Coturnix japonica: one gene and its partner. The protein of the gene in region 1 binds, or shares a complex with, the protein of each later gene. Links are inferred from orthologs where the notes say so. Each region holds a gene or a part of one and is shown on either strand. Other genes may lie near its edges.

What was found. The genes of interacting proteins can lie anywhere in the genome.
Region 2: WASHC1 (region 1) and WASHC3 share a complex: the UniProt entries of both Homo sapiens proteins name them as parts of the WASH core complex. The link is inferred for Coturnix japonica from reciprocal best matches to the Homo sapiens genes WASHC1 and WASHC3.

What each region holds. Positions count from the first base shown.
Region 1 is NC_029516.1:52,606,676-52,611,559, forward strand, and holds the start of WASHC1 (WASH complex subunit 1), read left to right. Parts: upstream 1-1,633; 5' UTR 1,634-1,707; coding exon 1,708-1,714; intron 1,715-2,299; exon of another isoform or gene 2,300-2,401; intron 2,402-4,884. UniProt on the Homo sapiens protein: Acts as a component of the WASH core complex that functions as a nucleation-promoting factor (NPF) at the surface of endosomes, where it recruits and activates the Arp2/3 complex to induce actin polymerization, playing a key role in the fission of tubules that serve as transport intermediates during endosome sorting.
Region 2 is NC_029516.1:56,773,697-56,778,622, forward strand, and holds the start of WASHC3 (WASH complex subunit 3), read right to left. Parts: upstream 3,217-4,926; 5' UTR 3,134-3,216; coding exon 3,083-3,133; intron 2,714-3,082; coding exon 2,615-2,713; intron 856-2,614; coding exon 790-855; intron 266-789; coding exon 137-265; intron 1-136. UniProt on the Homo sapiens protein: Acts as a component of the WASH core complex that functions as a nucleation-promoting factor (NPF) at the surface of endosomes, where it recruits and activates the Arp2/3 complex to induce actin polymerization, playing a key role in the fission of tubules that serve as transport intermediates during endosome sorting.

The DNA of each region.
Region 1 (4,884 bases):
AGTACGGACAGCAGAGCCGAGCGTGCAAAGCCTCTGTGCAGCCTGCAAGAAGAGCAGTGGGAACAATCTCTTTCATTTCTCCCACAGGCCAAGGGCAAAGCCAGGTCTGCCCTGAGGGTGAGAGAGGGTCTGAGTCACTACCCTGCCATGGCAGAACTAAGTGCCTGGAAGTGCATAAGCCAGATCTCTTTGCAGCAACCCTGACTAGTGTCTCCTGTTGGTATCAACTTGGGGAATGGCACTGGGAAAGCTGGAAGGCATTTTCCAAACCAGCAGCTAGTGCATTTCCTAATTGCAAAGCCCCTGAAACACTGTCATGTATGACTTGGCATAACATTCAACGCTTCTTTTTGCAGCCTATGGAAACTGCTGTCTAACTGACTGTATGGGAAGCAGGACTTTTGTCTAAATCCTCCCTCACCTGAGCAAGCATGCTTAGGAGCATTCCCTTTGTTGGGGAAGAAAAATCTTTTGCCTGGTTTTATTTCTCTTTGCTAAAACTTGTCAGCACAAAGCAGAGAAAGGGAGAGTTTGGTGGACTGTCAGTCAGCTCCTCAGGGATCCCATCCTCAGTATCACAAAGATTAAGCAGTGAGATGTTATGAAATGCAAATATTAAAGAGAGAGGAAACCATGTGCATTATTCCCCTGGCTGGAGATGGTGCTGCTCAGCCTCTCTGTACCAGTTGGGTGGGCAGAGGGAATCACTCAGCCAGAGATTATACCCCCAGCCTGCTTGCATGCCTTCACCTGTGGTGGCACATAGCCACTGCTCTCCCAGTTTGCCTCTGGATTATTTCTGTGCTGGTAACACCTACACATTCCCAGTCACTTAGGTCTTGTTTGCGCAGGGAAGATGTTTGATGTGTGACAGGGTTACACAAGAGTTCACTATGATTTAGGGCATCTCGCCCACTAATGCAGTCTCCCTTGTACTTTGTCCAGTGCACTGCTACGCTGCTGTCACTTCTTACATTGGGCTTACCAAGTCCCTGCTGCTCTTCTGCCCCTCCATCTCTCTGTCTCCCTAGCCTAACACTCACTCTCTTCCCTCTATCCAGTTCTGTTAGCTCTCTTCCTGCCTCACACTAAGTGATCTGGCAAACCTCATCCTCAGCATGGCTGGGAGGGGAACATGGGAAGGGGCTTCATCAGCCTGCCTCCACCTTCTGCTTTGTATTACATTTTATAAGCGCAGAACTGGATTGTTATCTGAGCAGCAGAAAGCACTTGGAGGCCTTTCCATCAGCAGTATATAAATAAAAATGGATAGGAATAGATTGGATTGTTGCTTCTTACATCTGCTTCCCTATCTTCTCTCTGACAGGTCCTGACACCCACACACCTGCTCAGACTTCACTACATCTCCTTTTTTCTTTTGTCTGCTTGGAGTTCTGGCATCATTTTACATCCCTCCCTCCCTTACAGAGAGTTCTCAAAGCTCTTAGCCAGGCTCAGAGCTCTCAGGCCTTTTGCCCTCACGTTCTGTATACGGACAGGCCTTCCCAGCCCCATTATTAAAGCACCACAAACATGGCGGACGCCCCCAACCCCACTAAGCGCCTCGCTCCCCACGCGCATGCGTACTGCCCCCACCCCACCCCCCCGCGGCAGCCGGCCTTTTAAGCTAGGCGGAAGTGACGTAAACTAGGGGCGGAAGTGGGACTGGGCGCTGCTTCCTGTTTGCTGCCGGGGTGTGTCCGGCTGATGGCAGGTGAGGGGAGCTCGGCTGGGCCGCGGGGTCGCGTTTGTTTATGGGTCTCTCCTCACACACGGGGATAATGAGTCTGAAGTGCCCGATATGGAGCATTGCCGCCCGGCTCTGCCTGTTTAATGGCTGGGCTCGCAGCGCTGATACAGGGCACCCGGGAGGGCCGAGCTGAGCGTCAGAGGTCGTGGGGTAACGTCGTTCCCCTCTGGTGTGGGGTTGTAAATGAAGTTAAACTTAGGGATGTGAAAAATAACGAGGGAGGATTCTTTAGGTATCTTATTCATAAGAGGCAGGCAAAGGAGTGAGGAGACTATACTCCTTCTGATGCTTCCATGAAGAAGGCTGAAGTATTTAATAAGTTCTTTGAGTCTGTCTTCACTGCCTGGCTTCCCATATCTCTCATGTCCCTGAACCTCTAGGCAGGAGTTGGAAAAGCAGAATCCCCTCCATCTGGAAGGGTGCAGCAAGTCTGAGACCACCTCATGAGACTAAATGTGTACAAGTGTATGGGACCAGACAACATGCATCCCAAGGGTCTGAAGGAACTGTTTGGTGTAGTTACCAAATGACTCTCCATTGTATTTGAAGAGTCGTGGCTGTCAGCTGAGGTCCCCAGTGGCTGAAGAAAGGGAAACTTCACTCCTGTTTATAAGAAAGGGAAGAAGGAATTCCTGGGGAACAACAGGTTCAGTGAGTGTCATGTCTGTGTTTGGGAAGATCATAGAACAGCTCATCTGGGAAGCTAGGTTAAGGCATATGCAAGATGAGGAGGTGATTCGTGGCAGCTAGCATGCCTTTACCAAAAACAGATTGTGCCTGACCAATCTGGTGGCCTTCTAGGATGGCATGATGGCTTTGGTGGACAGAGGAAAGGCAACCGATGTCATCTACCTGGACTTGTGCAAGGCCTTTGATGTGGTCCCATACCACATCTTTATCACATGAGGGGTCTGTCTTGGGACTGGTGTTTATTAACATCTTTACTGATTACGTAGATGATTGATAGGATCATGTGCACCCTCAGCGTGTTTGTAGATGACACCAAGCTGAGTGGTATTATTATTATTGACACAATATAAGGAAAAGATGCCATCCAGAGGTATTTGCATGGGTTTGAAAAGTGGGCCTCTGAGTCTTAAGTCTGGTCTTACAGTTGGGTGAGGGGCAATCCCAGATATGTCTACAGACTGGGAGAAGAACTCAAGAGCAGCTCTGTGGAGAAGGACTTGGGAGTTCTGGTGGATGAAAAGCTGGGCATGAACCAGCAGTATGCGCTTGCAGCCCAGAAGGCCAATAGTATCTAGAACTGTATCAATAGAGAGGGGGCCAGTAGGGTGATTGTGAAGGAGGAATGGTTTTAAACTAAAAGGTGGAAGATTAAAATTAGATGTCAGTGGAAATTTGAGGCACTGGAACAGGTTGCCCAGAGAAGCTATGGGTGCCCCATCACTGGAGGCAGTCAGGGCCAAGTTGGATGGGGCCCAGGGCAGCCTGAGCTGCTGGGTGGCACCCCTACCCATGGCAGGGAGGTTGGAGATCAATGATCTTTAAGGTCCCTTTCATGTGGTGAATGTTGGGAATCCACATCTAGCACTGATGAGCACTTCCTGGTGTTTTAGTGCAGAACAGAAGCCGTGTTGTGCTGAGGTTTTCCTCCTCAGTTTTTATGCTTTGGTTTCAGTGCTGAGTGGTTGTAGAGCACCTAGGTTTTCTGAGAGTCTTTCCCGGTACCCCTGGGGGGAGAGTAGGCTGGTTCTTGACTTCTGCAACCTAACTTCCAGCAGAGCATATAGGAAAGTGCCAGCTGTGGCGGTGGCATTTTGTGTAATTCAAGCAAATGTCAGCTGGCTGAAGTTGACCTATTTGTCTCATTTAGGTTGCGCTTTGGGCACCGCTGGCAGTGTTCTATGGACCATATCGACATCTCCTAGTAGTTAGAAGCTGAAAGTGTCACTATTTCTTGCCTTTCCACTGAAATGGGGATACTTCCTTGAGCAGAGAAAGGAAGTGGAGCGGGTAGTGCTGCTCCTGCCAGGGGCAAGGGCTGGAAGCAAACTGTCTTTGGCATGACTTTGTAGAGACTTTGTGCATTTTGGTTGTCCTGGGAATCAGAGATGCTCTGGTCAACTGTTCCTAGACTTCCTCTAGGAAGCTTGGCTAGAGGCTGACAAGCTCTCATGATACTTACGTCAGACTCTTCTGAGTAGCAAGCTGGGATGTAAGGGCTGCCCAGCGTGTATTTTTGTTACTGAAATGCTTTGGTTAGGGAGGAACAGCCACGCCTCCAGAGCCCTCAGGCAGAAAAATGCCTGCAGCACTCCCGGAGCAGCACATGCTGATCTTGTGTCTGTCCTTCCCCCATCACTTTGGATATTCAGATGGAGTTTTTAATCTTCATTCTTTCAAATAAAAAGCGGTGTTCTTTTCTCTCAGTTCTGGAGTTCATTGGTAGGATAACTGAGAGCAGATAATTGCTGGGAATTGCTGTGCAGTCAAGCTTCTGGGTTTGGTGGTACCAGGTAGCTGTAGTCACCACATGATCAGCCTGAATAGTGAAAGAGCATGGTAGGGATTGAGTGTTGGGGAGAATTAGTATTGAGATAAGCCCGAAAGCAAAGCAGATTTTTTTTTTTATCTTTTAAGATTGAAGATACTGTGCAGAGGAAGAGGACGATTATGTCTGAAATTACGATATTGCCTGTGACCACGGTGTATTAGCTTGAAGGGAATCATTTTTATCGCTCACAAATCAATTTCTGCAGCTACTCGGATCTGTTTGGACCTCTTCACAAGATAACCCTTGCCAGAAAATAGTTCATCCAGCAGCTTGTTTAGTGGGTTATTGATTCTTCAGGTGTCTCTCATTTGGGCCAGTGTTTTGTCAACTTCAGTTATCCAGGATGCTTTGGGAAAGTGTATGGTTGTTGGATTATGCACTTATTGCAATAGTTTGATAGGAAGGGAGGGCAGGCTTTTTTCTGAACCAAACTCGGCAGGAGCCTCTGCAGCAGCCCTTGAGCTGGTGGGACGCTCTGGCATTTAAGAGAACTTACTGCAAGGAAATGGACCTCAAAGGGACTTTTGGCTTAGTCAGTAGGTGCTGTGTTGTTTAGGTGTACAAAAACAAAGTGCCTCCTTTTAGGAAACTGGATGAACAGATGCATCAGGATGCT
Region 2 (4,926 bases), about 4.2 Mb from region 1:
ATGTAACTTTAGATCTTTACAGCTGGTGTGACTGCCCTCTTTAAGTAAACTTGGTTCTTCCATTTGCTTTAAATGAGATTAGAAATCTGATATGGAGATGTGTTCCTTCAATACACAATTTATCGTCATTACTTACTCCAGATTGAGGTGACACAGCTGCCTGTTGATCTGCAGTGGGTGGTGCCATGGGACTACTTGTGACACTATTCAGATCTGCACTGGGCACTTCAAATTTGACATCTTCTAAGCCAGGAATAGAGGATAACTGATTGGACAAAACATGATCAAAATAAGCAGTGAGCATATTGAAAGTCTACACGTAGCAGAAAATCTGCAGTATGGCACTTACTACATATTCCACAGGTGAGTTTCACATTAATGAAACTGTAATATTTTATCACTAGTTCTAGTTCATCGCATCTGAATTAGTCTAAAGCTCTCTGAGGCCACAGAAAAAAAAAAAGCTTTGCAATAAAAATAACACAAGTAACTGCCATGTAGTTCAGTTCCCCTCCCATGATCCAAACATACCTTTTCAGTTCTGTATCCTAAAGATGGACAAAACCAACATTTCCACAATATGCCATTCTTCTCCTCCATATCTACTATGCGTTCAAATGTTGTAAGTGTAGGGAATGCAGAAAGAGAGTTTGCCATGCAAGTGCTTCATATTAGCTTCCTCCAATCATTATAAAAACCTATTTGCTCAATTCAAACTATCTTTCTTTTCTTAGCCATGTAATCTCAGAAGCTGCCACTGCTCAAAGTTACAGTTGTACGCATACAAACCTTTGCATCCAGTATATTGAGTGTTGTTTCAATTTGCTGGATACGGAGAGAGAGTGCTGACAATTTCTAGAATAGAAAACAATTAAGATTTGAAAACACTCTCCTGGGCCACTAGTATACATAAAAGCATTCACAAGTAGTTAAATAAAATCTCCGTTTCAACCTGCAAAAGACGGTAGAGTATAAATGAGATAACATACATGAAATAAATGAAGCAATTCCATCTTCCCTTTTTAGTACAGTAGCTAGAGTGGTTCAAATTGTAACCAATTTTACTACATGTTATTTGACAGACAGAAATGAAGACAAATTATGTATAAATGGCAGCCAAAGTAAATAGGGTATTACTTTGGGCAACCAAATAGCAGACTAATGGCAGACACTCTGTACTCTCACAGTTGACCAAAATAAATTTCTTCAAAGCTTTTCCCAAATGTGAAAGGAGATACAATGTGCACATATATAACTGAGCATGTTATAGAAATATTTGATAAAGGCTACAGCAGATGAATGAAAGTCTTTGATAGTCATGGCAAACCTGAACTCACCAGAAGGTTTATATTCTCTAAGCGTACATCAATAAAATTTTGATATATTTTTCTTACAAACAAGTTTCTCTAAATTACTCTATAAGCACCATCACTCTGTTAACTAATCATTACCATACTCCACCAGACCTGTCCAAGTGAAGTTGGCTTAGCATGCAGGCTGGCAGATATGTACCACTCTGACAGCTCTCTGGCACGTGGGCAAGATTCTGCCTGGCTCTTAAGCAGAGCTTTAACACCCTAAGGAAATGGCAGTTCTGCCAATGTGCTGGAAAAGCAAGAGTGACAAAAGTTAGTCTTTTTGGATTGTACGCTGACTTGTTTACAGATGGTTCTTTGTTTGCAAAGAAAAGTTGGCTTCCTTGAAAGGAACTACATGCTCTGCAAGCAGTGGACAAAAGGGGAGGAAAGATGCTCAAAAGACACTTCTAAAACTTGCTGTATCAGCTTGACAATCATTTAGAAGTAGGCTGGTGGCAGCTTTAATTCTGAATTTCCTGACTTCTGCTGACTTACACTGGGACCATTTACATTAAAAACACTTCTGTAGTTCTTAAATGCAAAATCTTTTCAAGCACGTACAGTAACCACTTAGTCTCTTTAGCAAAAACACATTTATGCTAACTAATAACTGTTTTGTTAACTAGACTTCACAGCATTGCTCCATGCTCGAGACAGTATTCTGTATATATGCTTCAATTTCTGCGGTGCCTATACAATAAGTAATATTGAGTTTACATGAAAATTCAGTTCCGGGCAACTGATAACTTCACCAGACAGTGACAGTATCCCATATACCAAGTCAGGAAAATCCAAACTTATTTATTTAATTACTTTTATTTAGAAACTCTAAATGTTAATATGGTAGACAAAACCCACTTGCCAAGAGGCAGAGAAATCTGGAAGCAAGTTTTAACACATTGCCCTATGACACAGATGAAGGGGACGGGGACTGTCAGAACGGTTTCAGCACCACAAACACAGAGCAGCCTCTTTCCAAAACAAGACTATATTCACAGTAGGAGGCTCTCAGAAAAAGCTATGCCAAATACAAAAGTTCAACGAAACAAGGTTAAGTGAGGCATAATCAGTATGTGAATACCCTGGAGAAAAAAAAAAAAAAATAAATCCATCTTAATGCATTCAAGATGAGCAGAAAGCAGACTGAACTCTAAAGCTACTCGTACGAATGCAGCAAGAATAGTGAAGCGAATGGTTCTCATTTCTAGGAATCTTTCTCTTCAAATAACGTGAGGGATGGAAAGCAGCAAACATACCTCTTCACAAACAGTAGAAAAGCGGTTCAGAAACTGCACTGTGTGAACCACAAACTGGTTTAGAAACGCTACAGTTCTTTTCTGCTGAATAGCAGGAACCTGCAATAAACAGTACAAGAAAATGAGACAGTTTGTGGGTGTTAATCCTCACGTTTGGACTAAAATATGTATTGAAAAAGGCAGAAATTCAGGAAATAATATTTAAAGATCAGCCTTTGGTGTGTTTGCTATGGGTGCATAAAAACAAGAGCTATGTAACACACATAAAGATTGCTGCAGAAATAACGTGTCCAATGTTGGACCATGACACCAGAGGCAGATGTTGGTGGTACAGCAGAGGCCAAACCTTCCCACTAACACTCTGTTACATGTTATGCGACGCTGTTAAAGCGCTGCACATGAAGCAGCTCCGCTGGGGCCGACACAGCTGAAGGACGAGGCGCCAGGTGAGGCGAGGCGCAGCCGTACCTTAGTGAGGTCGATGCCGGAGCCCACGATGGGCAGCCCGTCCTCATCCATCCCCGCGGGCCGGCAGACTGCCCGCACCCCGGAAACCCCACCTGTATTCAAGCGTCCTCGGCACGGAAATAAAACCTCCCTGCCCGCCCTCCAAGCCGGGGCTGGTTGGTTTACGCATGTGTGCTGCTGCAGGCTGCACCATGGGAAGTGTAGTTCGGGAAGGGGCTCGGACTACAAGTGTGTGCTGCTCTGCTTGTCCTTCCGCGCCGCTCCTCTGTGTTAACGGTGTCCATGTTGTTCAATAGTAAATAATTAATTTCTGCATCTGAACGGGTCCTTTCTGGCTTAAGCCATCTGTTCTCTGGGATTCATCTGCCAGACAAGTGTTAAGAGACCTAAGTGGTAAAAGAACAAGTCATGCAACAGGAGAACACGTTGTCTCCATTAAATGTCAGCAATTGCCAGTACATCATGCACCTAATCCTTAATCTGATTAACTCCAAATGACAGATGAGAAATTAGCTTTAAATCCCCATAGACACGGCTCCAGACAGAGCATTAGGCGCACTCGCGTTTGGTAAGTACACCTCAGCTTGAACACTATATGCAAACTGCATCCATTGGCAGATCCTCGGAGACTCAGAACTTGTGTTAGCCAGGAAGACTCAGTTCAGAATAGAATCTGTCCTTTGGAAAAGGGATGGGAACACTGAATTCCTAGTCTTCATGTCAAGGGTCAGTTTTGGAGTATCTAAGCTAAGCAACCCAAGGTCCCAGAATGATGGGATGTGCTACCTTGGTAATCTTTCTTCCAATGGAACAAGAAGCAGCCCAACTCACTAAGTAAAGCTTCATTTCAGTTCTAAGATTGTGCACTACTGGAAGGCAAGAAAAATCAGGGTGATATGGAGCCCTTGTTTACAGCAGCAAATCCAACTAGCATGTAGCAGAGGAAATTCTTGGTGAAAGTTCTCCCTGGCTACATGTGAATACTAATCTAATCTAATCTAAATCTAATAAAAAGCTATCTAAATTTAGAGCAGTTAAGAATGTACCATAGTTGGAAGCTGTCAGTAGGAAGCTTCTCATGTGATGAAGAAAGAAAAAAACACTATTTTTTTTCCTAATATTTTGAAGATTATAACCCCAAACTGCCCTGCTACTTTTAAAATGTTTAAAATGAAAATGAGTTTACTTCCAAATGATTTCGTTTTGCCAAGCATTTTACAGACCCCACGTTCAGAATCTGTGATTGATAGCTAGAAAGCTGCAGATAGAGCACCTAGATCTGCTACTCCATGCTTACATAAAACCCTAATTCATCTAGGAAGCAGGTTTTCTTTTATTTCATGCTTACAACTTTCTTTAACTAACCCGCTGTCACACCCCTTGTTACTTCTTAGTAAAACATTACGTAAGTAAATCTGCTCACCCATACTGTTGGAATTATTGAGCAAACCCTATTTCCTATTATGTTGTGGGGTAAGGACACGCAGTTGGCAACTTCCTAATCTCTCAAAAGCAGGGCAGGGGCTACCCTATAAAGTTCAGTAGGTTTAATCTACTTTATAGGAATTGTGTGAATTATTTTTGGGGAAAGGAACTGCTAAATGATCCAAGCGAATGCTTCTACTTTAATTACTTCAAAAAATCCCTTAGTTATATGCAAGAAGCATTAATCTCATTTACCATAAAATGTCTGTAATGTTTTCCAGGCAAGGCTGAAGCAATTTAATAATGTAAATGCTTAGTTAAATCTTATCTGAAACTCTTTTGTCTGTAAAGTTGGACAAAAAAATTTCTCACAAGAATACGATCTTCTGTGAACTTTCTGGTACTTCCTGCTTTTAATT